Linked DNA regions of Arabidopsis thaliana. The protein of the gene in region 1 interacts with the protein of each later gene in a pairwise test. Each region holds a gene or a part of one and is shown on either strand. Other genes may lie near its edges. The genes, in order: PAP7 and AT5G67130.

Region 1 (16,081 bases):
CATTTGTTAGTTGTATATCATTATAAGAAAAGAAAAAATAATTAATTTATTTATTTGTGATATTTTTTTTATATATGATAAATTGTTTCTTGTTTTTGTGAATACTTTACAGTTGTTTACGAATATTATCGGTGTAAATAATTTCAGATATCTTGGAATTTATATTTGTATTCAATTTTGTGTACTTTATGTGACGAGAGTTTTGTCTCGCTTGTACTTGTTTTATTCAATGGGTCCGACGAATATTGTTTTAATTTTGTGTGGTCATGTTCATGCACATATGTAGTATTATTATTACATACAACAAAATTTTTATGTGATCACACATGGTACCTTTCGCATTCGAACAAAATTTGAGCTTGAGTAAACAATTCATTTTTGTCAACAAAAATAATGTTTGTTTCGTTATTAACAAACGATTTAACTATAAGGAAAATATCAAAAGAAAAGTATGGAGCAAAAAAATTGTTTTTTATATACATATAAGTCGGATTTGGCAAAATTTTAGGGACCATCTAAAAGATAGAATTGTGAAAAACTAGACAAAATTGGCTTAGCTCATTATTCATTTGTGTTTAGTCGTTTTGAAGTTGATGGTTTTGCTTTTTTTGCCAGCTATTTTACAACTGTATAACACTCTACTTGCTTCCAAAGGTTTTGCCACGTAAGCTAATGTTTATCCGCAAAACTACTTTTAAATAAATTAACAAAAATATCATTTTCAATTGGGTCGGGTCATTTCGGGTCGTGTTTACCGGGTCGGATAATTGATTTCTTCTTCTTCTTCTTCTTCTTCTTCTCTCTATCTCAAGCTCGCTAAGATTCTCATCAAATTTCCTCTTTAGACTAAGATAGTTCTTTCGTATTCTTCAAGGGTTTTTGTTTCTAGACCTAAAGTTTAATCCTTTTTATAAGCTTTGTGTTTGATTTCAAAACCCTAGCTGTTCCGGATTCTATTGTAGAAACGATTACTTAAGGTTCAATCGGAATTAGGGTTTGAATTAGAACCGTAACTTCGTGTGTTTTTTAGGAATGATACTACACTGTCCTGTCTCTTTGTCACTTAGCTTTCACTTGAATCTTCGAACCAGTAGAATCGGAAACATAGGAGTAACAAGAGTCAACGCTAGTCAAAGGAATCACTCTAAGAAACTCACTAAGAATCTCCGTAATCCACGCCGTACCAAGCTTCCTCCTGATTTTGGTGTTAATTTGTTTCTTAGGAAACCCAAAATTGAACCACTAGTGATTGATGATGATGATGAGCAAGTTCAAGAATCAGTGAATGATGATGATGATGCTGTTGTATGGGAACCAGAAGAAATCGAGGCTATTTCATCGCTGTTTCAGAAAAGGATACCTCAAAAACCCGATAAACCGAGTCGAGTTAGGCCTTTACCACTTCCTCAACCTCACAAGTTACGACCTTTAGGTCTTCCAACTCCAAAGAAGAACATTATCAGATCACCTGCATTGTCTTCTGTATCGAAGCAAGTGTATAAAGATCCAAGCTTTCTCATTGGTTTAGCTAGAGAGATCAAGAGCTTGCCTTCTTCTGATGCAGATGTCTCTCTTGTTCTCAATAAATGGGTTAGTTTCTTGCGTAAAGGGTCACTCTCTACGACTATTCGAGAATTGGGTCATATGGGTTTGCCTGAGAGAGCTTTACAGACGTATCATTGGGCTGAAAAGCATTCTCATTTAGTCCCTGATAACCGGATTCTTGCATCGACTATCCAGGTTTTGGCGAAGCACCATGAGCTGAAACTGCTTAAATTCGACAATAGTTTGGCTAGCAAGAATGTAATTGAAGCTATGATCAAGGGATGCATTGAAGGTGGATGGTTGAATCTAGCTCGGAAGCTTATACTGATCTCGAAGAGTAACAATCGAATACTTGACTCGAGTGTTTACGTGAAGATGATTCTGGAAATAGCTAAAAACCCTGACAAGTACCATCTTGTTGTTGCTCTTCTTGAGGAACTGAAAAAAAGAGAAGATTTGAAATTGAGCCAGCAGGATTGCACAAGTATTATGAAGATCTGTGTGAAACTGGGAGAATTTGAGCTTGTTGAATCTCTCTTTGACTGGTTTAAAGCATCAAACAGAGAACCAAGCGTTGTAATGTACACTACGATGATACATAGCCGGTATTCGGAACAAAAATACCGGGAGGCAATGAGTGTGGTATGGGAGATGGAAGAATCAAATTGTCTTCTTGATCTTCCAGCTTATAGAGTAGTCATTAAACTATTTGTAGCATTGGATGATTTGGGAAGAGCAATGAGGTATTACTCTAAACTCAAGGAAGCTGGATTCTCGCCAACGTATGATATTTATCGCGATATGATTAGCGTTTATACCGCTTCAGGGCGATTGACAAAGTGTAAAGAGATATGTAAGGAGGTTGAAGATGCTGGATTGAGGTTGGATAAAGATACTTCATTTAGGTTACTGCAGCTCGAGAAGCAAACAATGTCTCTTTTGCACTGAAGACAAAGTTCCAATTTTGTTTTTACTATCAGTTTCATTTGTGTGAACATTTCAGTATTGAAAACAGTGAAGATGTAATATACACGAGATACACTAAGATTTCTACTGTTTGAAAGTGTTTTCAGGCAAAGATGAAAGTGGAAACTTAACAATGTCAGAATCAGACATAGCAACACTGTTTTCTTCTGGAACTGATTCTGGTCCATCCATGGATGGTTTTATCACTGTAATGAACAAAATGTTGTAGAACAAGGTAAGAGCTAAGAGAACAAAAGCTGAACTTGTGAGGAACGATCCGGAGATCTCAGGTGGTTCTTCAAACATGATTGGATCATTGTTGGTTCTGACCACATCTGATGATGTCTTGTTGATGATTCTTGGTTTCTCATCAGCTTGAGATTCTATTTGTTGATCAAGCTGTTTCAGAGCTTCTCTAGCTTTATCTCTATCGATTTGGAATGAATCTTCTCTTTCAGTGGCTTGGACAATACGCATCAAATGTCTCTTCTTCTTTGTCTCCATGATTCTTCCATGTGTGTACCATTTAAGAGACTGTAAGCCTAACACCACCACCATTATCAGTTTCCTCTGTTTCTTCTGCTACACCACTCTGGAAGATGATATTTTTTTCTGTGTGGACATTGTTGATGGCAAAGTTGTAGATAACTTTACTTCTTAGGGAGTTGTTTTTACATAAAAGTCTTATATCACCAGACATTCAAAATTGGGCCCATTTTTAATGTGATAATTCCAAGTATAAGGCTTTAAAGGCCCAATTTTAGTCCCAAAAAATGTATTATATTTCATATCAAGTATTTTTATAATTAGAATACTATGAAATTTAATATTTTCTTAAAAGGTATATAAGAGAAATACTATGAAAAACAGCTGAATAATAGAATAGATGAATCACATTTAATACCGGACAACAATTCTAAGCTGAATAAAAATGATTTTTTGTTTCAAACACCATAAAGTTTTTATTTCGTAGATTAATGAACTTTCTAAAATTTAGTAATAATTTTAAAACATGCAAGATAAACTGAAAATTCGCTTGTTATTTTCATATTCTATATATAATTAAACACAAGTTTTTGTATAGCCCTGGGTATGTGGATATTTGGGTCGGTTCGGGTCGGATCTTTTGGGTTCTAATTTAGAAATTTTAGACTCGTTGGGTTATATGTTCAATTTCGGGTTGGGTTCGGTTCGGGTTTACTTTGGGTCCGCATAATTCGAATATTGGTTAAAGAACCCATAAATAACCAAAACTATTTCGGGTTTAAGTACTACTTACCCAAATTTTGTTCAAATATACCGAAACATACATAAAAATATCCATAAAACCCAAAAATCTGAAATTATAACAAGTTTTTCTTTAAGACAATAATATAAAACAAGAAGTAAACCTTATTTTGAGCTTGTTCCATAACTCAAATCATTAAATATGTCACAAATTCAAGTTATTAGTGAATATATGTCCTATATGTATATATATGTTCGAGTAATAAATATTACTTACGAGTATCGGGTTCGGTTCGGATAATACCGATACCTACAATTATTTGAAAATAGAATCCGATCGGATAATTAACCGAAACTGAAATAGAACAGGTTCGGGTATTTCAGATCGGGTTCAGGTATTATGCCCATGCCTATTTTTGTAAATGATATGTATTCAACGGAACCACGTTTTCAGAACGTGAAAAAACTCTATATTATTCAAGACCATTGTGTTCAATAATCATACATCAATAAATTTATTGTAAATAAAAACTTAAATTAAATTGTGTGCAAATTTTATTCTTAGAAATGTTATTTAAAGATGAGCAGATCTTTTGGACAATGAGGATCGGTGAAGAACATTGCCGGAAACATCATAGTAGATGAATTTAGCTTTGGAGTGAGTGATGTGAAGAGACATGAAACCTTGTCCATCGTAATACAGTTTGAGTTCTTTTGGATCCCATGGCTGAACATGTCCTCTCCATGCCTTTGATCCTCCTCCACTTGTAAGAAATTGGGTTTTACTTCACCATTTCCAAAATATATGTTAAGTTTTCTTTCTTTCAACAAAATATAACAACTTAATAGAGAAAGAAACATTTTAAACTCAACAAATAAGTACTTATAATTTTACCCGTGAGAACCAATGTGTTGCAAGCAGTGATCATGTCCATTTATGTACAAGTCCACTTTATTCTCCTTCAGTAATAAGTGAAAAAAATCATGAAAAACTATCGTAGTTAATTAAATTGGGGTACATCAATGTAGAAAACAATAAAGATAATATAACATGTAATTAGCATAAAAGTGATATTATGAATTTTACCTCTAGAATTGGAAGAAGTTGATCTACAAGCTCTTGAGTCACACCGTGATTACCTGCGGTTTTGATCCCGTGATGTCCCACGACAAATTTCCATGTGGCACGCGACTTTTTAATCTCTAAATCTAAATCCTGATATTTCAATAACATAAGTTATAATTAGTAGAAAATTTCAAAAAGAAGATTGAGATATATATATGTGATTATGAAAGAAAATGTATTACATGTAAGAGGTTTGAGATGTATTTATTTCTTGGTAAGACATTTCTCCAATCATAAGTGTGATCTTCTGGTTCAGTGAAGTATTTTTCTACAAAAGGATTTGTGTCCGCGAAGAAAAAATCCACCATTCCTATAACCACAACAAAACATATTCACTAACTAAAACTTTGATTTAGTTATGATAGTTTAATTTTGTTTGTTTCTTTCCTTAAAATCTACCTGAGGATAAGACAAAAGATCTGCGACAAAACCATCTCCAATCTTTTTGGGTGAGAACTTTACTTAGTTGTGCTTCAACATTTCCTCTGTAATCATGGTTACCCAAAACTGCATTAACACATGAATCAATATCAGATTTTGCCATTTTTCTTAGTGGCATTTATAGATTTTGCCTTTTTTGAATAGTTTATGGATTTTGCCATTTTGCAAGCTAAAAAATTATAATTTAAACATGCATTTTACCCGTTATGTTTAGGTCAGTCGGTTCCATCTGATCTTAAGTTTAGTATTTGGTATAAAATATGTATTTTTAACAACAAAAAAATTGAAATACGTACGACAAATCTGTAAGATCTTAGTAAAAATGACATTTTCCAAAACAATTGCAAACTACACAATAATCCCATAACACATTTGAGTGTTTAAACTCAGTTAGGCATATAGATAAACAATTAAGTAACTAACTATTAAACATGTGTATAAACTTTGATTAGAAGGAAGTAAATTACCTGAATACCATTGTTTTTGGAGACTAGGATGAGTGTAGATATGAGAGAAAGAGGCTTCAAAGGAAGGATCATTGACTCCTTTTAATCCGTCGTCGTAGAAATTATCTCCTACTGATATCACAAAATCTATGTCTAATTTCTCTCCCACAACTCCCATCTGCCAATTTTTCAGTTTTACATTACATAAACAAAATTTTATTAACACTGGTTTGTTCATGTCGATATTATAAGCGTGAAATATTTTTGTAAATTGATTTAAGATATACAACAAAAAAAAGGATTTGTTGCCAAACAAAATGATAGTCAATTTTCTGTTACATCTCATTTTAATTAGGATTCTGCTTTCTAATGAAGCGTATCAATTTGTCAATTACAAGAATACTTTACGAATATGCTTTCTCAATTAGTACTTATTGCGTAGGATGCACGCAACATACGACTATGTACTCATAAATTAATAGATTGATGTTTACATTTTCATACATATTTCAACTTTCAACACTATAAACAATACGTACATTGTTCAACAAAAAAAATCAAATTCAAATCCTTTGGGTTGTATTACTCTATATTGTTGCCTTGAACAAATAATTGTCACTAATTAAGTTGTATTTTTGTTATTCAAACGAATTATAAATGAAATAATAAATCTTGTATTTTTATCAGATTTACAAAACACAAACCACTAGTCTACATATACTTGTTAAATCTTTCTAATACATTATAAATATTGAAAAAGTGATTAATATTACTAACCTGATGTGCAACGAGAGATTGATTAAAACCACCTTTGCGTCCCCAATCTCCGATAACAAGAAAACTCAGAGAGCCATCAGATTTCTTCTTCACCGGATGTTTCAACCTTTCAAGCTTCGACAAAGCACCATTGATGAAGAAGATGCTTAGAAACATCAAAATCACACTAAAACATACGTGCATCTTCATCTTCTTCTTACTTTGTTTTATCTGGTATGAGACAAAATCACAAAAGAAACAAATGATGCCTATATAAAGAGAGATGAAGATGCCTTGCTAACAATTAATATAGATGGATCCATAAGAAGAACATGGTCGATACATTATTTAATCAAGGATGTTTCTTTTTGGTCAACTCTTGAAGGAAATTATAATCATTTTACTAAATTAATTAAGAAGACTCTACAACTTTTTGTTTTGTAATCATATAGTATATATTTTGTTCAATGTATGGGCCAATGCTGCGTGTTACTTACACGTTTAGGTCAAGGGATATTTCCTCCTGTATATGTTTTTATTTGTTTCCTACTTTATTTCTTAATTATATATCTTTCCCCATAAATGTCTAATATTAATATCTCTCGGATATTTGATACAAATGTATAAATTTGGTATCCATAGTTTTAAAAAAATCAAATTAGTTGTCTTTTAATGTTTAAATCATAAAGAGAAGTATTAAGGATTTCTCTCTTTATGTGAAATATGCAAAAATAATTCTTTTGAATATCAATATATATATAGTGGAATATGATGGTAATGAAAAATGTGAACACGAGAACCATGCGTACAGTATAATTATATATTAAACAAGATTTTAACCCGCGGTATACCGCGGCACGATTTATTTTTAAAAGTAATATATATTAAAATTTGCAAATTTTATTTTTACAAAATATTTATATTTTACAGTTTATAATTGTAATTAAGTAACGATATACCACGAATTCATGAGACAATTGTTAAAAAAACTGAAGTTTTGACCCCTATTAAAACAGCATATTAATAATATTTTAAAATTTTATAAATATTGATTCAAATACATCCACCATATAACCCAATTCCAAAATAAAACACGTTTTGTAATTTCTTTACCCGTCCCATGATTTTTTTTTTAAGTAGTAATTTTTATAATTTTAGAATTATTTTTTATATATAAAAATTTTGCAAATTGTATTATTCTCTAATACATTTATATTTTATAGTTTAATTTTATATATAGTAACATTATACATACCACATAACATTTTTGGTTCTATATAATTTTTCTAAATTAGGATGATTTGATATGTTTAATATTAGTGGTCTTAAAAAATAATAAATTAAAGATTTAACCCATATTGAAACGGTAAATTAATTATATTTTACTTTTTTATTAATGTTGATTCAAAAACTCGTTCCTCCAAATCCGTCTTGCCAAAAAGTCATTTATTTTATTAATATTAGTTTTATTAATGATATGACTCTGAATTATAATCTAAACATTTTAGCTAATAACATAGGAGTGCACCATATTTATTTAATAGAGGAATGTACCATATGACCCGAATGCATTTTTATCCAAATCCACCAAAAAAGTCTTGCAAAAATACTATAGAGATAAAAAACGATAGTCGGTTTTGATAGATATAAGATTAGCAAATATATTAGTTAGCTTAAATTAGTTAAAGAATACAAATTAAAAAGGTATATTACACTTTATTCAAATATAGTATCAAAACTTATATAACACAGAGATTTGATAATTTTTTAATTGTTGAATACTTTTTTTTGTGCTAATTTTATGTGATTAAGATTTAATTGATTTCGTATATATAATATTAAATTGACTTATTTGTTTATAATTTGGTAACAGATAGATATTTGAATATTCAGTATATTTTGCTTCAGTTTAGGAAATCTTTGATGACCCGTCTTTAGATCCAATAAGTCCTATAATCTAGAGATTAATCTGCAGTATACCGCAGGTAGGCTTATATTTTAGTTAAACTAAAAACTTTTATTGTAAAGATGATTTAAAAATATATAATATTATTTTATTTAATTTTAAATGTATAGTAGACTGTGAGTTGTATATGTTTTGTTGATATTATCTATATTGTTTAGTGTTTAAGATTATACACTTGTAGTTTGATTGTTAATTTAAGAGTTTCACATGTAGTATACCATCTTGTATTAATATCGATCTAAATCCGTCAATTCTATGATTTTCCAGCTTGTATTAAAAATTGAATCACATCTAATATGTTATTAACTATTGTAGTATATAAGATTATAAATTTTCAATATAATATGTATGAAATTGAATATATATATTTCAAATTTATGTCCCGTTACTCAGTAGAAAGTTTTCTTAAATATCTTTTTCACCCGTTATAATATTATTCATGTATTGAACAGTTTATATTCGTTTTTAAAAATTCAAATTATGGCATATGCGAAAAAACTCTAATTATTTTTTTATAATGATGATATTATTTTTCCGTAAAAATAGAATCATATCAAGATGAGAAGTGAACTATAATAATTAAGAAAAAATTAATATGATAATTTAGATACCAAATATAGTTTGTTGATTTTAATTGGCTACTTTTTTGGAAATTAATAATGTATTTCGTTTTTCTAATTAAATTAAATTAATTAAAATTTAGATATCAAATCTTATGTGTTGATTTTGATTGGCTATTATTTTTAGAAATTAATAATGTATTTTGTTTTTTAATTAATTTAATTAATTAAATTAGTATTTGACTTTTTAATCTTTAAAGAAATAAATATATAATATTAATATCTCTCGGATATTTGATACAAATGTATAAATTTGGTATCAATAGTAAAAAAATCAAATTAGTTGTCTTTTAATGTTTAAATCATAAAGAGAAGTATTAAGGATTTCTCTCTTTATGTGAAATATGCAAAAATAATTCTTTTGAATATCAATATATATATAGTGGAATATGATGGTAATGAAAAATGTGAACACGAGAACCATGCGTACAGTATAATTATATATTAAATGTAAACGAAATCAAAACCAAATCATGAGAAGATATGTCTCCATGTATTAAGATACCATTAAGAATTCGAAAATAATCACACAACATTAAAAAATGTTTAACTCACATGAAATATCAACATAATAAACAATGGACTAATTAATATAAATAATTATGTCGTAACTCTTAACTACTTTTTTGTCTGACCATCGATTAGATATCGGAATAAACCCCATTCTTAAGAGTGCTCCATCGATGCAAAACGTGACCAAGACCATCATAGAAAACGACGCGTAGTTCAGCTTCGGATGTGTAAACCGACATGAATCCTTGTCCATCATAGTAAAACCTCATCTCTTGTGGGTTCCAATCATTCACATCTCCTTTCCACGCCTTGGAGCCACCTCCACTTGTCATAAATTGTATTCCACTATAAACAACAAAAACCGCATCTCTATCTTACGTTACTAATCCATAATTAATCGATTAATAAATTATACAAACTTATTATAATCACCTGTTGATGCTGCTTATGTGCTCCAAGCAATGATCATGCCCGTTTATATAGAGATCCACTTCATTAGCCTAAATATATCAAGAAAACCAATTAAATTGTTTTTTTTTCAATTTTTGGTATTACATAATTCAGTAGTTTATAATATAGTAAAAATTACCTCGAGGATAGGTAAAAGTTGTTTCTCAAGCTCTATGGTATTTCCGTGGTGACCTGCACTTTTGATCGTGTGATGGCCTACCACTATTTTCCATTTAGCCATTGATTCTTGCAATGCCACATCCACATCCTATATATCATTAAATTAGGTCAATGATAATCACATATTTTGACTATATTGTAATCGAGACAGGTTTTAGTATGATGCCAATTTAATTATTCTAATTTTCAATGAATTTGATGATATGACTAGCTTATGGTAGAGTAAGAAAAAAAAAGTTACCGTTAAGAGACTGTTAAGGTATTTATTTCTCGGTAATACGCCTCTCCAATCATATACATGGTCCTTTGGTTCATCAAAATATCTATCTACGAACGGTGTTGTATCCACGAAGAAAATATCGACAATCTCTACAAAAGAAAAAAGGGTTAACTAAAGAGAAGTTTTATTAACTTGTGTTCTTGGTAATTTACTTACCGGCGTTAACAACATAAGATCTTAAACAAATCCAACGGCAGTCCAAATCCCTGAGTATGGGGCTGAGTTGCGCATAGACGTTACCTCTATAATCATGATTTCCTAATACTGCAAGAGAAAATAAATGAAAATCTACTAATAAGTATATAAATTTTTGATAGTCAAATAACTTTTTCTCTGTAAGTGAAAGAGAGATAGTTTTATGCTCAGAGTATAAATACTATTAATAATTTACTTACCATTGTACCATGGTTTTTGTAAGCTAGTTGCTGTGTAAATATTGGTAAACGAATCTTGAAATTGAGAATCATATGGACTGATTATTCCATCATCATAAAAGTTATCTCCAGTCGAAATGAGGAAATCAATATTTAAGTCCTTCCCTATTTTTCCCATCTGATCAATGCAAAAAAATATAGACAATAATTAGAAATTGCTAGCTGCGACAAACCTATCCATTTAACTACAAACTAAAACAAAATAATAATAATAAAAATCTCTAGTCAGTGTCTTCCTTAATCCAAAGCATTTACTCATAGGATTATAGAAGCAACCAATAATTAAAGTGATGACGTAGAATTGCAACACTAATGGACAGCCTTAAGATGATTATTAGTTCCACGTAAGTTACGTAATGAACTAAAGATTATGTATGCAACTTCATCTTCACGGCTCCTTAATTAACAATGAAATATGCCTCATATATTATCATCAACTCACTCATTATATATTCAGATATTATTACATGTTAATACAACCCAGGCATTACTCAGTGCAGTTTTATTATTATTGTTCGTTACTTGCTAATATATAACTACAATAGCTAATTAATTTGTAATTTACTCAAACGATGAATTCGACGTCAAGATAACATATATATGATTTCTCTTATCATTTTCGTCTTCTCGCTTGAATTCTCTCACATATTTTCTAAACCACACCATTAAAAAGAACTTGAAACTAGCTTAATTACAGACAAGGAATAAAGTTTGATTGTTCATAAAAATAAGGTCATATCTACATAAACACACACATAAATATGTACCTGAAGAGCTACTTGGGACTGATTATAAGAACCTCTTCTTCCCCAGTCGCCGACAACGAGAAAACTGAGTGAACCATCGGGTTCTGGTGGTTGGACGAACCGCGGTAGCTCTGCCGTTGAATTACAGGCGGATAGTATAATAACTAGACAGAAAATAGAAAATATGAGTTTGATAGGCTTAACATCTCTCAAGCTATCCATTGAGAGACTTTGGAGAAAAAATGTAAGAGGTGATGGACCTGATGGTGGGTTTTCGTGTGGCTTTGTTTATTTATAGCTAGTCCTTATGTGGACAAGAATTAAAAATAGAAAAAGGCAAGAGAAAAAATAATGTAATGAACTTTGTCACTAGAAAAATAACTCTTCAAAATAATTAATAAATTTTAAAGTCGAAAAAATTGTTTTTCTTGTTTCAATCCGAGACTATATAAGACTAAAATGGACTTTAGACAATTACGTGAAAATTATTTGCACGTCAATGAAAAGGGGCGGTGGATAGAAGTAGTCTGAATATTCCATGTTTAGGTAATTAACGTGGTATATATTGTTCCACATATAAATAACATTTTTAGTTCCCATATATATTAACAAGGAAATTAAAGAGAATTTTGAAAGAAAAAAAAAAAAGGTTGACCGGACTTTTTGAAGGTGATTTTATTTATTTATTTGCTAATTGCCTTACATATGTGAAAGGCCATTGTACGAGTTGTTAATTTATACACAAAAGGTTTGATTCATAATTTTTAAAAAAAAATCTGTTTGTCATAAAACTTTGCTACAAGGAAAAAAAAAATTCGTGAATAATACACAAGTTTCGAATAAAAGAGAAAATTGTTTTTTGTTTTCCTTTTCCAACAAAGATTATTTGATTATGTCACTGGAAGAGTGACAGAGTCATTATACAAACAAATATGACAACCATGAAGGAGCTAGGAACCTCCTTTATAGTTTTAAAACTGTTATAATTTATAAAGATACAACTAATTATTAACAGTAATTGGAAATAGGCCTCTGCACCAATTGGAAATGTTTACTTCCTCGTTTAAACTTAATGAAAATAGTCGTTGTCAACATCAAAAATTATTTATTGTCAGTTAAAAATTCATATTTAGAAGCTTTTTTGGTTCATTGGTTGACCGAAGGTTCATTAATGCTTTTGTACACTAAAAAAGTCTGGGGTTCGAGTCCCAGATACTGTGATTTATTAGCAGATTTGCAGATTGGTAGAGACAAGTGTGCAGGAGATCTTCAACAATGTGCAATTATATCCATTCGGCTATGTAACAATTCTCATAATTTGCAATAAATAATAAATTTAAGACGGTAAAAAAAATTATATTTTTTTGATAGATATTTATTCATTTTTAGGAGTTTATCAGTTTAATTCCGGAATTATAAGATAAAAATATTAATTTATCATGGATGTATATTTCCTCCACCATCCGAAGTCATGTCATACAAGCCAAACGGGAACCCATACCATATTCTTCTTTAAGATTTGCAATTATTGAAATTTGTGTTCATGTATTGTTTTTCTTATCTAGACAAGATCCAAGAGGCGTCGACTACAAGAATATCCAAAATGCATGTGAGAGTCGACGAAAACTTCCAAAATCTTTTCAATTATTTTGAGATTCCATACATGAAAATACACATGCGAAAATAAATAGTATCCACGTATATATGATGTCCGATCTATCCGAAATCTCAAATGAGATTCTATGCTTCGGAATGATATGATCACGAGCGCGTATGATATAAAGTATGTTGAAACAAAAGAATGTATATAAAAATTGGTAAAGAGCATCATCATATGCTTAAGCAATGATATTTGTTTAGAATTTCTCTTCTCTTTTGTTTGTTATAACAATTACTTTAACCAACGGAAGCCCAAAACAATTTGTAGTAGTTAATTAGAAGCCCCAAATACTTGGTCAGATCACTAATTGGAAGTAGAAGCCCAACAGTAGAACAAATGTGTAGTTGCTTGTTGAAAGTTGAAACAGATTTTGAGTAAGAAGACCAAATTACCAAACTCGTTTTGGTTAGCTTTCATTGACTTGAACCAAAATTGTTTTCCCACTCGAATGAGCTCATACCAATAAAATTCAAATAGACTGTATAAAATTGATAGTATGGTTAATAAGTTCGAATAACCTTTTCCCATTTTCTCTTCTGATTTCCATTGTGTTGTTCTCAGTTTTACCAATATGATATAATATAAATCTTATAATTTATGTTGATTTATTTGTTATGAAATTAAAAACTCACAATTTTGGTAAGATTTTTTATTTATTAATTTTTAATAGACAATTTATCACTTATTTTTATTTATCCAACTTATGTGTTGTTTGAAATTAGTTTATTCAACAAATTTGCATACATAAAACAATCTTTAGTTTTCCATCTTATTATTTTATAATCATGATTATGTTTGAATTTTTCCATGTTATATATATCTTCTGGATCATTAAAACAGTAAAACTATAATGAATATTGGGTTGCATTTGGACATTTGGTATAGGATACCAAACTTTTACAATCCAAATTAAATATGTTATACCAAATCAAATATACAATTAATGTTATATGATTAAAAATATAAATAATCATGTATAGTGCCTAAAAGGAATTTATGATCTCAGTGGTCCCAAAATATTAATGAAATTGATGTAGCGTTGTTAGCTTAACCACTAATAGCTTTTTACGCAAATTTATCTACCTCTTAATAAGTACTGTATTTTTACAATCCATAATTAAGAACTACTAAATATCTCTCGAATGAAAGTAATATGTAATGCAATATCGGCATCTTAGATATTTATAATTGGACAAAAGATGAAGAAGATATTTGACATAATTTTTTCTAAAGTATTTGCACTTTCTGTCTAATTAGTAAATATCCTCTCGGCTGGTAGGAAGAATTTAAAATTGTACGAAAATAATCAAATATTGCACCGGCCAGCCAATGAGATTCAATTCAATATATATAAAAAATTAAATTGATCAAAGTTATACTAATATAAATTATATAGACATATAGTACGTATAGCTATTGTCTCCTTAAACTTGACACTATTACTAATTGTGTAAAATATTTTGGTATTTGACAGGTATCTATCGTTCACATATATATAGGTAACAATGTGAAATGACAAATCACATAAATAAAAATATACCAAACAACATGATATAAATCATTATTGACAAAAACTTGGCTAGAAGTTTACAAATGACATTTTTAGATATATTTATTAATTTATGAAATGATTGACATAAATTGTGACACAAAACTTATGCAACAAATAAATTGGTAAACTTGCAGGATAAAATTATTTGCGATGAAAAAATGCAATGGTTACATATACAGTATTTGTATAGATTACACTCAGTCAATATAAAAGAAAAAAAAAGATGACAAAAATAGGAATATTTGACCTTAATTCAGAACCCCAACAATTCTTAAGATTATCTTATAATTTTTTATTATTTTATTATTATTTATTATTTACTTTTTTATTATCTTATAATTTTTATTGATTATTGGTTATCAATATTAATAGACATGCCGCAAAAAGAAAATTAACCAAACCCTGCCTTGCGACAATTGAAATCCAACTTTCTTGGAATCTTTGTCAAGATACCATAATCTTTGTTTTTTCTCACCGGGAAAATATTGAAGAATCTATTTATTTTTAAGGAATCAACCTATTAAGAAAAACTATTTACAGTACTGTATTTGCTTGGTTAAACTTATCGAAGCAAAAAAAGTAGTAGATTGATTAAGATAATATTAGGGATAATGTTCCACATCGGAAGTTAAGTAGGATCTTAAGTGGTATATATAAGATATGGGCCTCTCCACCTATTGCCAATTAGTTTTAGGTTGGAAGCCCACACTCTAATATGGTATCATAGCCCGATCCGTACATACTCAACCCGATCCACATCGATCCGGCCCAATACTTGGCTCGCCGATCCATGCCCAAACATATCGAGATCAATGGCTAGAAGAGCCATCATCTCGAGGGGGCGTATTAGGAACAATATTCCACATCGAAAGTTGAATAGAATCTTAAGTGGTATATATAAGATATGGGCCTCTCCACCTATTGCCAATTGGTTTTAGGTTGGAAGCCCACACTCTAATAGATAGAAGCTTCGATAAAAGAAAAAAACAATCAAGCTATTTATAGGTTTATAATCTTATCACAATAAAACGAATGCAGGGAATAATGGACAATTTGTCCGGTTGTAATCTAAACATTAAACAATGAACTATGCTTCTAATTATATATTGTTATATATTTTGAAACAAATAAAAGGACGACATGTCGACATGTGCATTATAATACTAAACAACA
Region 2 (15,530 bases), on another chromosome or scaffold:
GTGTTTGAGATAGGATATTGACTTGGTCAAAAAACAGAACAGAACTATAAACTCTGTTTTTTTCTTCTTTCATATTTGAAGATCTCGAAGCAGATGGGGTTGTCATATAACTGATAATGGTCTTTACCAAATAGCTTCTGCAAGATGTGTATCCAATTTAAACTCTGTCTCTTTATGGGGCATGACCGCCATTACTGATTCTGGTGTTGTTCAACTGGTAAAATCTAACACCGTTTTTTGTGCACTGGAATCTTGAAGATTCCTTTTTTGTTTTAATCATTTCAGAGAATCTTGATTTTGATTTGACAGATTTCAAGAACTTCCTCACTGCAACACCTAAACATAGGAGGAACATTTATAACCGATGAGTCTCTTTTCGCAATTGCAGAACGCTGCCATCAGCTTAAGGTAACAACAATCATCTAACCAAATAATTCTCTCTAGATTCATGAGAATCACGCTTTCGAAATTGGAATCCTTTATGCAGACAATCGGAATGTGGTGTTGCCGTCATGTGACAGAGAGAGGCCTTCTTGTTCTTGTAAACAAATGCAGAAAACTCGAATCCATCAACTTATGGGGAACTAGAGTTCCTGTAGATTGCTTCATTGCTTTACTTACCATCAGTCCTGCTCTTCAGATCAAACCCATGGAATTGCTTCTCAATGCTCAGAATCCACCACCGTTGCTGCATGCTGTCTAGTGTTGCTCATCATATTTCTTGTTTGTTGTGTACATAGTAATTCATACAATTGAATCTGCATATATCTTATGTGTTCTCTCATCAATCAACAACATATATATATAAATATTCAGTAAAGTTTCTATTGGAGTAGAATTGTGTCTATATATATATATATATAAGTTGCATAACAATCAACAGAAGCTGAAGACACACATACACAAGATTTCTGCCTATAGCTCTGCAGTCTACAATACAAGAATCAAATCAGAAACTCTTTCTAAGGCAATTCATGTCAACTTAGGCTCTCTCATTCGTTCTAAAGAAGTGATCAAGATTCTCTAACCTAAGAATCTCTCCACGTGGTTTGATTGGTTGTGTCATAGTAGAAATATCAGCAACGGAAGCAATGAGAAGCAGAAGACAACAATGTTGTTTAGTTGGGCCACAGAAGCTAAAGATCTTGAGAACTGAACTGAACCTGAGTAGCTTCCACCTGAGTTGCTTCCAGCCGTTGAATCCATGCTTGGAGTTCTTGTCTGTACAGTAACATTTTTGCATGAACCATAAGCTGCTCCTGGCTGCAACATCAAGAACCAAAATACGGGTGCCGGTTTTAGATAATTTAGGCTTGTAAGATCTTATTTCATACCCATAAGTAACTTTGGCGCGAGTTAATAAGTTAATACCTGGCAAGCAGAAAGAGTTTCACAACCGCAAAGTACCGGTCCATTCATTCTATCCAGAATTTCGAAAACGCCGCCTCCATCACTTCTCTGCAATATTATGGTTTGTTAGCTAGATCTCGTAAAAACAGTCATATTATAGTTATATGATTGATTCAGTACCATGTAGAAGTTAACAGCAAGAAAGTTTGGCATTCTATTCCCTCCTGACTTGAGACAAGTCCCAACCATCTCAGCAAGTGGAGCTGAGTGCTCCTTGCAAGCGTCTTTCTCAACCGGATATGTCGGGAAGTAATTCATCAAGAATAGCGAAGAACTTTTTGAATTTAAAGGTTGAGACTCTTTTCTGTTAGGACAAGAACCTCGCTTCACTCCGGGATCCCCAGCTTTAGACAATCATAAGAAAATGGCAAGAGAAGGTTATTCTCAGAGACAATTTTCATTAAAGATATAAACTGTGTGTAATACGCACATTCATTTTCAACCATGTATCTCCACTGATACGCAACGCCTTCTTCATCTTCTTTGGCAGCAACAGAAGTGAAAACCAGGAGCCTATGATTCTCTTGCACCATGTCAGTCACAGTAGGCCAATCTTCTCCCTTTCTAGGCATTTTCGAAACAGGGAACCAGTATTTGTCCAAACCAGCGTTGGCAAACAGTGTTGATAAGCCTTTAGGTCTGTGCACATAATCCTCTATTATGATGGTAACAATCTCTGTTGGGTTTTGACTCAGAAATGCCTCAACTTCCCTCAGTATGTTAATTGCAGGTTGCTGATTCAAAAAGAAAACAAAGTTCACATTTACCAATCCAATCAGGTTTCAAGCTTTCGATCCAGCAAGGTTAAGCTGAAGATAAAACTTACAAAAGCGGTGAAGTTGAAACATTGCCCTCGAAGCGAATGGCAAAGCCAGATATCATTGTTGAAGTCATACATATCCAGCATTAGCCCTCTAACTCCATTCTAGAACAAAAATATACATTCAAGAGTTTTATCCAAAAAAAGAGGAAACTATAATAAGAGAGTTGGTAATAAGAGCATTACTTGTAGCTGATTAGTAATAGTATCTTCTTGATTGTAAAATGTAATCCTCTCAACACCTGGCAAAAGTGGTGCATTTGCATTGCTAAAGGCATTATGAGTCATCAACCATGTATACTTGTTAAAAGGCAATCCATTGATCTACAAAAAACACACACACAAATTTCATCACCACATCTTCAAAGTTCAAAACTTTTGATACAACCAAATGATCTAGACTATCTTTTAATGCAACCAAATGAAATCTTCAGCAAAACCCATCTTCAAAGTTCAAAACTTTTGATAGACCAAGTGATCTAGACTATCTTTTGAAACAACGCATCTTCAAAAATTGGAAACTCTAGAGAAATCCAACTAATTATAGGAACTAAATCTCACAATGGAAGTTGGACTTGTGGCTTGGCCTCTTGTGCAGACGGGTTTACTTCTTCCAACGGCAGGACAGTCTCCACAGTATAAACCAGAGACACAATCAGTAGCCGAGGAGCATGAATCCAGCAGCTGAAAGAGACACAAAAATGCAAAATCCCTAAAGATTTAGACCCAAATTTGATAGCCATAAACCAGAGAATAATAAGCAAAGAGAATCAAGAACCTGGCAATTTCCATTGGAGCAAGCTGAGGAAAAAGAGAAAGAAAGAAGAAGAAGAAGAAGAGAGACAGTCACGGCTCTGCATAAGCCATTGATGCACGCCGACATCGCTCCGTAGCTTATGCAGAGATAGAGAGAGAGATATGAATGATGTTGGATCTACTTGGGGGGGTTTTCAAAGACGAGACAAAGAGATGTTTAGGTACTAAAACCCGGGCTTCATCGATTTGTTTTGTTAATCCTTGAAAGAGAGGTACAAAAGAAAAAGATTAGCTTTGGTTTTCTTTTTCTAAGACAAGGTTGAATCTTTTTCCCACCTAGCTCCTAGAGAGAAAATGAAGAAACGATTAGTAAAGAAGATAAACCACCTTTCAAAAGGAGTTCAATTTTGAGCATAATACAGTTTAACATTATAATAACATAACTCAAAACTACAGTTTCTAGTCTTGTACACCAAACATATGGAGTGACATTTTTGTCAAGATTTATGGAAACAGTGATCTTGTAAGAGTTTATCAATATAAGTAATAATGGTTTTATATTATTTCTTCTAGTTGTTAGGTGAGGTCTATCATAAAAAAAAAAAAAATTATTTCACAGATCACTATTTTCATTCTCTAAAATTTGCTCAGTTATAAGATTTTTTCACCTATTATTAGATGAAGATATCTTTTTTCTATTATGGTTAACGGTGCTCACATGCGTGGGGACACTCTTGTCTTGTTGCTTGTCTCTTTGCTTCTTTCAATGAAAAATGTTACAATTTTCATCATCTTACAAAAATTACTCAAACATCTAGGTGAAATTTTATTCTTAACGAGATTTATCATACCATGCCTATTTCATCTGCAGATTCGTCAGCAAGTGACGTATCGAATTAGTGACACTCTTAACGATCAAATGATTAATTTCCATTAAACCAAAAAAAAAAATGATTGATTTCCATAACCGATTTATTCACAATTGGTGATTTAACACACAAGTTGCTGTAATATACTCTTGATGTGTTTTTAACTTGAGATTTTTTTTTTAATACACAAAAAAAAAAAAAAACTTTTGTAGTTTGGACATTTACGTCCATTGAGTATGACGTCGTCGTCGTGTAAATTCTCTCTCTGCCTCTCGCTATAACGCTAGGCCCATTTACGTATTTTACTGAGCCTTTTTAGTTGGACCCAAACTCTCTCTTTTTAAGCCCATGACCCAAGTAATGTAATTAATCATCTTGTGAACTTGTAAATGAGGAAAACAAGATGCATATCTCCGGTTTAAAAAGCGTTTTAATGACGTTGAAAGCAAATATACAAAGCCAAAACATAAAATTTCCTTCCTTTTTTTGTTGAAAGCAACATTTATTATTTTTTGTACTTATTCACTCTAAAATGATATTTTTCCATTGAAGAAAATTCAATAAAGAAATGTTTTTCTATAAAAAACCAATTCAACTGTATTAGAGCTATAATTAAAACAGAATCCTTATTTTCAATAAAATAAATCTTCCGAATCCAGCTAAAGTTCCATTTTTATTAGCTGTCACAATTTTTTTAATTGAATTTTTAACATTTTGGGACTTCAAACTACCCAACAATTGTAAATCAGTGGTCTTTTTCTCCTTGAACTTTTTTTTGGTATAAACCTTTTTTCCTTAAAGTTGCTAAATCCTTTTATCCATGGAGGCACTGAAAAGTGGGTTATATGCATTATTTATCGTTTAAGCCTTAATTTGGTATATATATTTTTCCTTTAACTGAGCTACAATATATTTAGTGGTTTTTCTTTGTTCATAACGTCTTTATTTTTTCTATTACTTTATCAATATTAAGACTATCCTGTCCACTCAAGTATTTGCATTTGAATGGAAGAGTTAAATGGTGATGATACTTGAAAGTGTTAATTATCTATATAAATTCAGCTTAATCTAGCCCCTTGAAAAAAAATTTTGAGTCAGGTAATATGTTTCTCCAAAAGTATGGATCCAAACGAAGACAATTCTGAGATACCGGATAGTCCTTTTAGCTTCATGTGGCTACTATTTGGAGACGACTGGGATCTATGGGACACTTACTCACCAGTTGATGCTGATGACATCTCACCAGATCCAACGCTTGATGTGAACGGTGATGGTCCGGCAATAGAGCCCGGTTCCCTTCTGAGGACAATTAGTTGGGTAATTATCTATTATCTAATGTTTTTTTTAAGAGAAATAATTTATTTGGATATAATATAGACATGAAAATTGTTTAGGAAACAACGTTCGAGCAGGACTCGTTACAATCATGGAACGATGAACAATCTGAAACAACATCAGTAGTAGAGTATACAGATGTATCTTCTCATGGAAACACCTTCACTAACGAGGTATAGTATAAATCTAGACTAGATTAACTTTTGATATGCAAATCTCTTAGCATTTCAAATATATTTCAAGAGTTTATGAATCAATATTGGAGGAAATAAGATCCAATATTATTGACATTTGAAAGAAAAAAAAAAAGGATTTTGATTTGTTTTGACATTCCGTGATTTTACGTAATCATTTCCCTCGTATCTTGTTTGGTTTTAAATTTTCTGTTTTTGCGTGGGAAAACATTGAATGTCACTTAATTGAGTAATTAATTATCTATTATCTAATATTTTTCTTTAAAAGGTATAAAGCTTTTAGATATAATCTAGACATTGAAATTATATAGGAAGAAACGTTGGAGCGTTACTGGAGAAACTGGTTACAGTCATCGACCAATGAACAATCTGAAACAGGATCACAAGAAGAGTATACAAATGCATCTTCTCATGGAGGCACCTTCATTTACGAGGTATATAATAAATATATAGACTAGATTAAGTTTCGATATGCAAATCTCTTAGCATTCAAGTATATTTAGAGTTTATGAAACAATATTTGTGGAAATAAGACTAAAAAAAAACAATTGCCATTTAAAAAACAAAGAAAGGTTTAAATTTTCTATGATATTTAGTGAACTTAAAATAATCATTTTCATGTATTTTGTTTGGTTTAAAATTTTTCGGTTTTACATGGAAAACATTAATATCACTTAGTTGGGTAATTATCTAATATCTAATGCTTTTGGATATTATAATATAGACATTGAAATTGTATAGGAAGAAACGTTGGAGCAGTATTGGAGAAACTGGTTACAGTCATCGACAAATGAACAATTTGAAACAGAGTCACTAGAAGAGTATACAAATCCATCTTCTCATGGAGACATCTTCACTTACGAGGTATATTATATATGTTATAACTAGACTAGATTAAGTTTTGATATGCAAATATCTTCAAAAACTACTAAAGTGTTTACATCACATTTGAAAGCCTTCACCATTTTTTCATTTGTTATGAACATTGTATCTTAGAAGTTAGCACTTTAGAGTTTTTTGCAAGATAACATTGAAAATTTAATGCTTCCAGTATTGGTTAACTAGTCGGTTGCATGTGTAGTTTTCAAAGAAGTGCATTTGAATCCTAGATGTAGAAGAGATTAGGACTCTCTTTAATAAAAATTATATGTACCATTTTGGTTTCTTGATTCTAGAGTTGTATAAGCTGCAGAGTTTAGATATCGATAATTTTATGAATGAATCTTTTTTTTTCTAGGAATTATTGAGCATCACTGACGAAACAGGAGATGAACGCACTGGTTTAAGCGAGGAAGTGATTGATGAGAATCTAATAAGAAGGAAATATGAAAAGCGTAGCGACGATGAAACGAAGAGATGTGTGATCTGTCAGCAGAAATTGAAGGACAATGAAGAAGTTTCGAAACTGGGATGTGGGCATGACTTTCACTTCGGATGCATCAAGAATTGGCTAATGGTCACGAACAAGTGTCCTCTTTGCAACCGAGAAGTCGTTTAAATGTTTTATCAAGTTTGAAAGATTCCGTTTATCTCGTTGGATTTCAGTTTTTTTGTTTCTTTCTTTTGCTATGAACCATAATTACCAATATTTCCCTTTTTATCAAGTTAGAAAGATTCCATTTATTTAGATGGCAAGTTGGATTTTGATTTGATTTCTGATTTTGATTATTATCATCTATATATATATTTTTGCAGCCACTTTGTGAAATAAATTCTGGAGTTGGGATTTATTTACAGCGGCTGTCATTGGCATTTAATAATTGTTTTTGATAATTAGAAAGAAAATCTTCTAATTAAATATTTGACATTTAACAATCTTTCCAAAATCTCTCTACCTTAACTACACGATTAATTACTAAAATAAAACTTCTAAAATATTTAATATCATTTAATTACTACAAAATTATCATTTTTGATATTGCTTTTCTGCATGATTATAATCATCAAACCGTAGAGATATTTGATAACATTTAATTACTACAAAATTACAAAATATTTAGACAATAATTCATAAACATATCATAAATAAGATCACATTCATAAAATAAATGAGTTTTTTTAGAGGACGGGTTGGCGGGACGGGTTTGGCAGGACGTTACTTAATAACAATTGTAAACTATACAATAAAAATATTTTATAGATAGATACAATTTACAAACTTTTATATATATTAATTTAAAAAATAAATTGTTTTCGCGGTATACCGCGGGTTAAAATCTAGTTATTCTTATTTTTGCTATGAACCATAATTATTTTAATTACTATATTATATATATTTCCCTTTGGATGCATTAAAAAAAGGCTAATGATCAAGGACATGTTATCGTCTTTGTATTGACCATTATAATATCTGAATTTTATTTTGTGTTAAATAATCTCTCGAATAAATAATCTTTCGAAATGCATGCAGTTTTATTCACACTTTATCTGTGGACAACAACAACAACAAAAAAGAAGGAAAAAATAGATTTTTGTAATTTGTCAAAAATGGTGAAACTGTTGCGAGACCTTACTTTTCAAGTAATTGTCCATTTTCATGTTTAGTCATAATAATAATTAAATAGTCTATCAATGCTCTATCTTATCAATACTCTTATTTTTTCAACCGTTTCATTTACTGATTTTCATAATTTCATCCCCTCCTCTCAATTTAACTTATCACATTGAAAAAAACAATAAAAATGTATGTTTTTTATTTACTTGGTGGTCCAAAAATGCTTTTTTCCTTTTTTTTATTAGGTAAAAAATATAATATTATTAAATAAAATTGCTACAAAAGGAAACTGTTCACACACAGAGTGATGTGAGACACCAGATTCTGTCTATAGGGATTCGACACGCCACTCGCCTCTTTTAGAACCTCCACGCGCTTCTCTGAAGAACGTGATCTCACGCGTCCTACCTCCCCCGCCTATAAGCTTTACTACGAAAAAGCCACAGTGATAATTTTTACACACAGAGTAGAGCAGAGAGAGAGAGAGAGAGAGAGATGGGTGATTCTGACGTCGGTGATCGTCTTCCCCCTCCATCTTCTTCCGACGAACTCTCGAGCTTTCTCCGACAGATTCTTTCCCGTACTCCTACAGCTCAACCTTCTTCACCACCGAAGAGTACTAATGTTTCCTCCGCTGAGACCTTCTTCCCTTCCGTTTCCGGCGGAGCTGTTTCTTCCGTCGGTTATGGAGTCTCTGAAACTGGCCAAGACAAATATGCTTTCGAACACAAGGTATAAACTTAACTATTCTTAGCTGCAGAGATGCTTCACTTGGCTTTCCTTGTAAAAGAAAACAAAAACCAAAATTAGTCTCTTTTCTTTTTGGAATGGCTAAACACTAAAGAGAAGTGGAGCTAAACAGAGAAATTCGTTGAAGAGAAACATTGATGCTCAATTCCACAACTTGTCTGAAAAGGTTTTCTCTTTTATCTTCCTTTTAAGATTCTTAATTTAGAAAGAAGAAGAACCTTGAGATTGTAGTTGATTAGAATCTGAGTGTTAGCAGAAGAGGAGGAGCAAGATCAACGAGAAAATGAAAGCTTTGCAGAAACTCATTCCCAATTCCAACAAGGTTAATCAATCTTTGTTCGAATCAGAGATAGTGAGAAACATTGTTCTGATTGATCCGTTATCTTTTGTTTGTTTATAGACTGATAAAGCCTCAATGCTTGATGAAGCTATAGAATATCTGAAGCAGCTTCAACTTCAAGTCCAGGTTTTTTTCCTACTTACTATGATTATATACGTTCAAAGTCTGATTTGTAAATTACATCACTCAGATCATTAACTTGATTTACTGCATGATGCAGACTTTAGCCGTTATGAATGGTTTAGGCTTAAACCCTATGCGATTACCACAGGTTCCACCTCCAACTCATACAAGGATCAATGAGACCTTAGAGCAAGACCTGAACCTAGAGACTCTTCTCGCTGCTCCTCACTCGCTGGAACCAGCTAAAACAAGTCAAGGAATGTGCTTTTCCACAGCCACTCTGCTTTGAAGATAACATTCAGACAATGATGATGATCGGAATTCCTCTAGTACCTGCCAGACAGGAGTGAACAATGTTTTGAGTTTTAGCATTGGCCAGATTTCTATGTTCAGTTATAGTTATGCTAATAAGCTTTAGGAGTGAACAAAATCTGAGTAGTTTGATTATAATGATGTCTGAAGCAGATTATATATAAAAGACTAATTTACTTACATATGAGATGATTATTACAACTATCAAATGACTATGTCTGTGAGTTGCATCCATCCATAAGCACACCGGTCTCTACTACTTCGAGTGATTGCTGCTGCTGACTTAACCGCAGGTCTTATCTTCGTCATTGCTTTCTCTACTTGAATTCTCACGCCAACATCCATCTGTTATTTCAAATGGTACCGATAACTTTAGGGATATAGACAAGACAAATTGATATTAATAATATAACAAGGTTGTAAAGTAGAAACCTTTTCTAAAGAGCATTGTGTGTCTAAGATGTGGCAGAAGTATGACAGTTGCTTGTACAAGTCTGCTTCAGTGTACTGTAAAGTCAAGAGTTAGTCTGTGAAGCAATAGAGAGATAGGAGTTATAAGGTTGATGATGGTATATACCTTTCGTAAGAGGGTTCCGTTACAGTTAGGATAGTTTGGGCAAACTGTCCCCCGTTCACGTTCACCGAGTAGACGAAAGTTGGGGGAGCGGGTTGTGTGCTTGCATGACTCGTCTTCACACTGTTGAAGGCAAAATGTACAAGAAAACGTCTTAGCATAAATTAAGAAGGACAAATCACAAATGTTCAGAACTATGAGGAAAAAACAAGGCGAGAAGGTTTTACATACCACCATTATGCCTTTGTAGTACATTGACACAAATCCATCGATCTGTCTTTTTACCTGAAAGGCATGATAATGAGTTAATAACTGAAGCATTTGTCCTGCAGGCCAAATCACAAGGATACATATTTTTTATTCTGAGAAACTTAACAAATTAGGATCCTTTTCAACAAAATTTGCCTACCTGGTTAGCTATCATTGCAGGGGATATTATTCCCGTGCTATCTTCCTGCTGACATTTCGGGCAATGCAGTTTAAGCCAGAATGTGGAATCAGATTCCTCTGTTTCAGGTGTTGCAGGTTTCTTACTGATTGACGCACAAACAGAACTAATAATAGATGGACAGTTGAAAGCAGTAGAGCAGCTGGGGCATGTTAATGCTAAAGGCTCGCAACTTTTATATCTGCATTTTTCCATGTAAATTACGTTGTTGCGGATCTTAAGTTTGAGGAATATTGCAAATCCGTGAAGCAAATATATGATAGCAAATTACAAATGGGAAAGATATCAATACCTTTCTTCATCGCTTGTTGCGAATAAGAGGGAGGTAGAGGGATCACTGCTTGTAGCATCGTTTGATTTGCTTCGGTACTAGAATAAAACATTATTTCCACATCAGTTATCATGAATTCATGATCACTGAATATGAATCGGAAATTTGCTGGAGTGAAAGCTGTTTTACCTTTGATGGGTCAAGTCCTAAACATTCAGCTAGACGTTCAGGACTTGTTCCTTGAATCTCTGCGCATAGACGAGACACCACCGGATGAATCTGTTGTGCTAAGTAGTAATCTATGTCAACCAACCATCTGCTGCCTTCTGATTTCACCTCATCAGGATGCCTAGCACGTTCGGCAATTCCTGCTGAACTAGCAGAGCTAGCATTACCCTGCACAGAGGAGGCATAAAATATTTAGTAGAAAAAACTAAAGGGTATCTTATAATATTTAGCTGGTCTTCTGTTTTGGGAACCTGCTCATAGCAGATTATATACGGTACAGTATCCTTAGCATTGAAACCTTCTTTATAACCACGTTGCCTCATTCTGAGTGCAACCTGAGAAGAAAAATTTAGCCACACAATCAGAGAGTTAAGTTAAGTGAATATATAGAAAGCATATAATAAGGGAGAAATAACGAGAATAATAGCTCTCATACTCACTTGAACGTGTGGTTGGCTTTTGGAATCTGGATAAGCTGCAGGCGGTTTAGTCAATGTCTTGGTGATGACATACTTCTCAAGAGCAACTTGCCCATTTCTCATTTCCTCTTTTATCTGTTACATGGACAAAGCAACATGTGTTGGATGATAAAGACGATCAAACTAATTAGCAAAGATTAATAAATCATAACAAAGATTACCTTCATTAGTTCGTTATGAATTGCTTCAACAACATCCTCACAGGATCTGCACAGAAGAAGAGACTTGTTGTGCTTGCATGAGAGAGTAAAAACAATGTTCTTTAGTTGATGTTTCAAAACATACCCTCCATACAAGATTTTACTCAGGCATAAATCTCCTATTTCCTTCGAGAGTAAGCTCCAATCTCGACGAACCATATCCACACCTTTTCTTTCAATGTCCTGCATTGAGAATGCATCTAGTACCCATAATTTTCTGCAAGAAAGGGTATGCAAAAATGTTTACAAAAAAACAATTACCTCGCAAGGCTTCCCATCCTTAAACTGCAACTTGACAGCAGCATACTTCTTTTTTCGAAGAAGAAGCATTCTCTTGTATATGCCATCACAGTCAATTTTTAGACATCTATACTTCTTATTGACCTAAAAATTGAAAGGGGAAGGCCCAAAATCAAATGTCTGATTTTTCTTGTATAAATTTTTTATAATCTTCTTAGAGAAGCACTTTCCCCAAGGAAAGCTATATAGAGATAAATCTAGTATCCAACCTACCTCTTGGATGACTTTTGATTTAATGGCTTTCACCTCTTCAATATCATCTAGTCCGCTGTGAATCATGATTGAATCTGTGTCACCGTATATTACCTACGTAAAAGCAAGATTTTAATTCTAGACTTGATAGAACAGAGTTGTTTACACAGTTCACTAATTTCTCTACTGAAATGCATTTCCTGAGACTCCAAGTATAAGAGTTACCTCTAGATTTAAATGGTTCTGGACAAGATCCACGGTTCTTTGCAGGATATCCCTTCCCTGCAATGTTAAGCCAATCAGCCTGATCACGCAAAAATAGAGAAAAAAAGAAAAAACATGTCACTAGAAAACACAGAAAGCATCACTTACCTGTAGTGTTATGAGCTCTGCTAAAGGCTTAGCATAGAATCTTGAATTAGAAAACCCCAGACAGCCATACATACTGTGTTTAGAATGAATAAAAAAACATAAACATCAAATTGCGGTGATTGGCAATTATTGCCGCACAAGTAAAACCATAAAATGCAAACCTATTGGCTGTGAGCTTCAATGCCTGCTGTCGAATGTCAAGCTCCCAGTACTTGAGACCTGTTTCCTTCTTCATCTTTAATTTGACGCTTTTCCTTATACTGACCAAATGTTCCATCAACTAAAACAAAGACATATAGTGGGATTCATGGGCATACCAGATCAAGGAGAGAAACTTAAAGTCGAGGAAAAAAAAATGTATATAGCAATAATTTAGACGATTATGTCAGAATTAGGTTTACTTAAACTACAGAAAGCAGCAGTCACCAATACAATACTGACCAGCTAGGTCGCATTGTTCTGAGGATTTCTCGCATATCCCTTGAGAGGTTAGGAAAAGAAAATGAGGCAAAATATTTTGGTTGTTGAATTTTTCTTTCAATTAATTTCTGATTGGGTTGGGGTAATTTATAGATTTGACGTTGGATAACCTATAACATATAGAAAATATATACGGAATTGAAAATAGTCACAGTAAAATGCAAACTCGTGTAATGATGACTATACCTTTGGAAGAATTCCAGGTGTCTGACTCGAAGGTAAACGAGGAACTCCATCTTCTGATCGTGGTATAGTCGTAAAACAGATATTGTATTCCTGAAAATATCATGACTGTTAACTACCAAGCAGGCGGAAACATCCACCAAAGGCTTGAGAAATAGAAACAATCTGCTAACCTGTATAATAGAAGGGTAAAGACTATTGAAATCCAGAAGCAAGACATATTTGTCATATAAGCCTCTCTTTGGCTCCAAGACCAGTCCACCAGCGTAGGCTGGACCTTTTTTTGTTTTGCTGCCCTTAGACGGATCATTCTCCAAAGTCAGGTCAGCATCCAATTCATCTACATTGCGGTCTTCTGGAGCATAATCCATTCTTCTTTTTGATGACTTTATTTCCTTCATACGTTGTGAAATTTTGTCAGGGAGAATGAACTTTTTCGAGTGGAATGTATGTAGTAAGTAGTATTCGATTCTCTGTGCCCTGGCTCCCTGGTCATGAACAAAAAATGCATGAGTCAGCACAGTAACACATATTTTCCCGGATGGGAGGGAGAGGGAGAGTCATTACTTGAAGTGTTTTCCCCCAAAGATTGCCACTTATGTTAGTAAGCTGGAGAGTGAGAGGAAGAACACTTAGATGAAACATGAGCTCCATGGATAACCATGCATCCGTCTCACCACATTCAATCTGAAAGAAAAGAAAATCAAAGGGTTATAACAAGCGAGCAATTAAGATGCAGTCATCACTCATCAACCTTAAGTGACTGCTGTTATCTGCAATCCCTTTACTTCTATGTATGACTGGATTATTTATTCTTCAATAGTTTGCACTAAATTGTTTCGCATGCAAGGATTCATAACCTATCGTCCCTAATGTGGTAGTACCAACTCATACATAAAACAGACATGACCGGGCTCATCGAAGAACTTACAAGTTCCACAAGTGTTTTGGATGACTGAAACATTTTGGGAATATCATTAGGCGCTATCTCTTTCCTGTCCCGGTTCAGCTGTGTCTTTGAGAGGTCCGTTAAAGAATAACTGACCTGCAAGAAACAGATGCTTATACATGAGGGACTGAGCTTCAACTTACTGCTTACAAGACCTGCAAGGGTATCATACCTCCTTCAACAAGTCACGAGAACACAGATCTGTATCACACAAGAGCCTTCCAGCAATACAAGACATGAGCCCTGGTGTAGCTCCTGACCCATAATTACTGTTTCCTTTAAGCTTAGGCATAAAAGAGCGTTTGAGTCGGCCAATTTTGGACCACATGCTACTCTGAACTTTGCAAGCCTGCACAATAGTAATCATTCAGTTTAAAGAACAAGACAGACATGTATATATCTCTATTACATGATCATCACAACAGGAGAGACTGGAAAAGGGACTAATGATGTACAATGCATGAAATAAAAACTTGCTGGCTTATTACGTTAAATATCATCTAATAGGCCTGGAAAGACAAGATCTTACAAAACTAATATGAAGCATATCATAGAAAGATAAGAAAATAAAATAAAATGAAAGACACAACCATTTTTCTTAATGGTAAAAAGAGATTTTGCTTTACCTGGGCCCTTTGAAGAAGAACATCCAGATCAAAACCTGAAATATTATGTCCCACAAGAATATCACTGTCCAATTTGTTTAACTCCAAAAACAATCGGTTCAGCAATGCTCTTTCACTGCAGTAAGAAAAGGAACAAAATATTGGACGAAGCCAACATGAATTGCCAAAGATATATGTGAAGGATCACAAACACAGCCTATTCAGTAACAGAGCTGCAACACACCTGTTTTCAATACTTAATACATTGCAGCCGTTCTTTGAATTTCTGTCAGACACTTCTTTTTTCCAACCAATTGGGTAACCGGTTCCTTCAGGATTCCTAACAACAGTGAAATGACTCAGAATACCAGATCTCTTTCTTTCTGGAGCTGGCATTGGAACATCAATCTGAAAGATCAAGGAGCACGCACATCATATGTCAAGCTACTAATGTAGACAGAAAGAGTGTCTTTTGAGCAAGAAACAATCGTCCAAAATGAGCGTTAATATAAAACCACATGGTACGAAAACCTACTGGTGATTGGTAATGCCATGATCATACATCCGTATTCTTCACAAAGACAACAACAACAACAACAAAAAAGGCTAAGAAGCATTGGTTAAATGTTGTAGAACAAACCTTGGCGTTGTGAAAGCAGAGAACAGATGCAGAAACAATTTCGCTTATGTTCTGCTTTTCATTGACTATAGTCTTTAAATTTATGGCTGTAACAACAGCAGGAGGGTGAACCACCTTTTCCTCTGAAACTAAAATAGTGATATCCTTGGGAGATTGAACAGTAACCTCAAACTTGCACCAACTCACCTGCACAAGTGGCAAGTCCT

What was found.
Region 2: the proteins of PAP7 (region 1) and AT5G67130 interact in a protein complementation assay, tested with the Arabidopsis thaliana proteins (one large-scale study listed by BioGRID).

What each region holds. Positions count from the first base shown.
Region 1 is NC_003071.7:387,251-403,331, forward strand, and holds PAP7 (purple acid phosphatase 7), read right to left. Parts: upstream 6,935-16,081; 5' UTR 6,718-6,934; coding exon 6,529-6,717; intron 5,930-6,528; coding exon 5,773-5,929; intron 5,372-5,772; coding exon 5,264-5,371; intron 5,175-5,263; coding exon 5,047-5,174; intron 4,955-5,046; coding exon 4,826-4,954; intron 4,699-4,825; coding exon 4,634-4,698; intron 4,524-4,633; coding exon 4,313-4,523; 3' UTR 4,171-4,312; downstream 1-4,170. Other genes in the region: EMB975 (Tetratricopeptide repeat (TPR)-like superfamily protein), read left to right, coding at 1,033-2,493; AT2G01870 (uncharacterized protein), read right to left, coding at 2,596-3,069; PAP8 (purple acid phosphatase 8), read right to left, coding at 9,735-9,951, 10,039-10,106, 10,196-10,324, 10,478-10,605, 10,673-10,780, 10,912-11,068, 11,718-11,918.
Region 2 is NC_003076.8:26,779,182-26,794,711, reverse strand, and holds AT5G67130 (PLC-like phosphodiesterases superfamily protein), read right to left. Parts: upstream 3,414-15,530; 5' UTR 3,114-3,413; coding exon 3,009-3,113; intron 2,915-3,008; coding exon 2,792-2,914; intron 2,555-2,791; coding exon 2,417-2,554; intron 2,336-2,416; coding exon 2,237-2,335; intron 2,145-2,236; coding exon 1,841-2,144; intron 1,755-1,840; coding exon 1,531-1,754; intron 1,459-1,530; coding exon 1,372-1,458; intron 1,264-1,371; coding exon 1,063-1,263; 3' UTR 830-1,062; downstream 1-829. Other genes in the region: AT5G67140 (F-box/RNI-like superfamily protein), read left to right, coding at 82-217, 310-408, 488-703; AT5G67120 (RING/U-box superfamily protein), read left to right, coding at 4,975-5,172, 5,250-5,363, 5,696-5,818, 6,126-6,248, 6,622-6,882; ALC (basic helix-loop-helix (bHLH) DNA-binding superfamily protein), read left to right, coding at 8,374-8,610, 8,723-8,794, 8,885-8,950, 9,029-9,094, 9,189-9,380; ICU2 (DNA-directed DNA polymerase), read right to left, coding at 9,608-9,748, 9,836-9,910, 9,981-10,100, 10,209-10,262, 10,387-10,606, 10,718-10,794, 10,886-11,092, 11,176-11,259 and 16 more.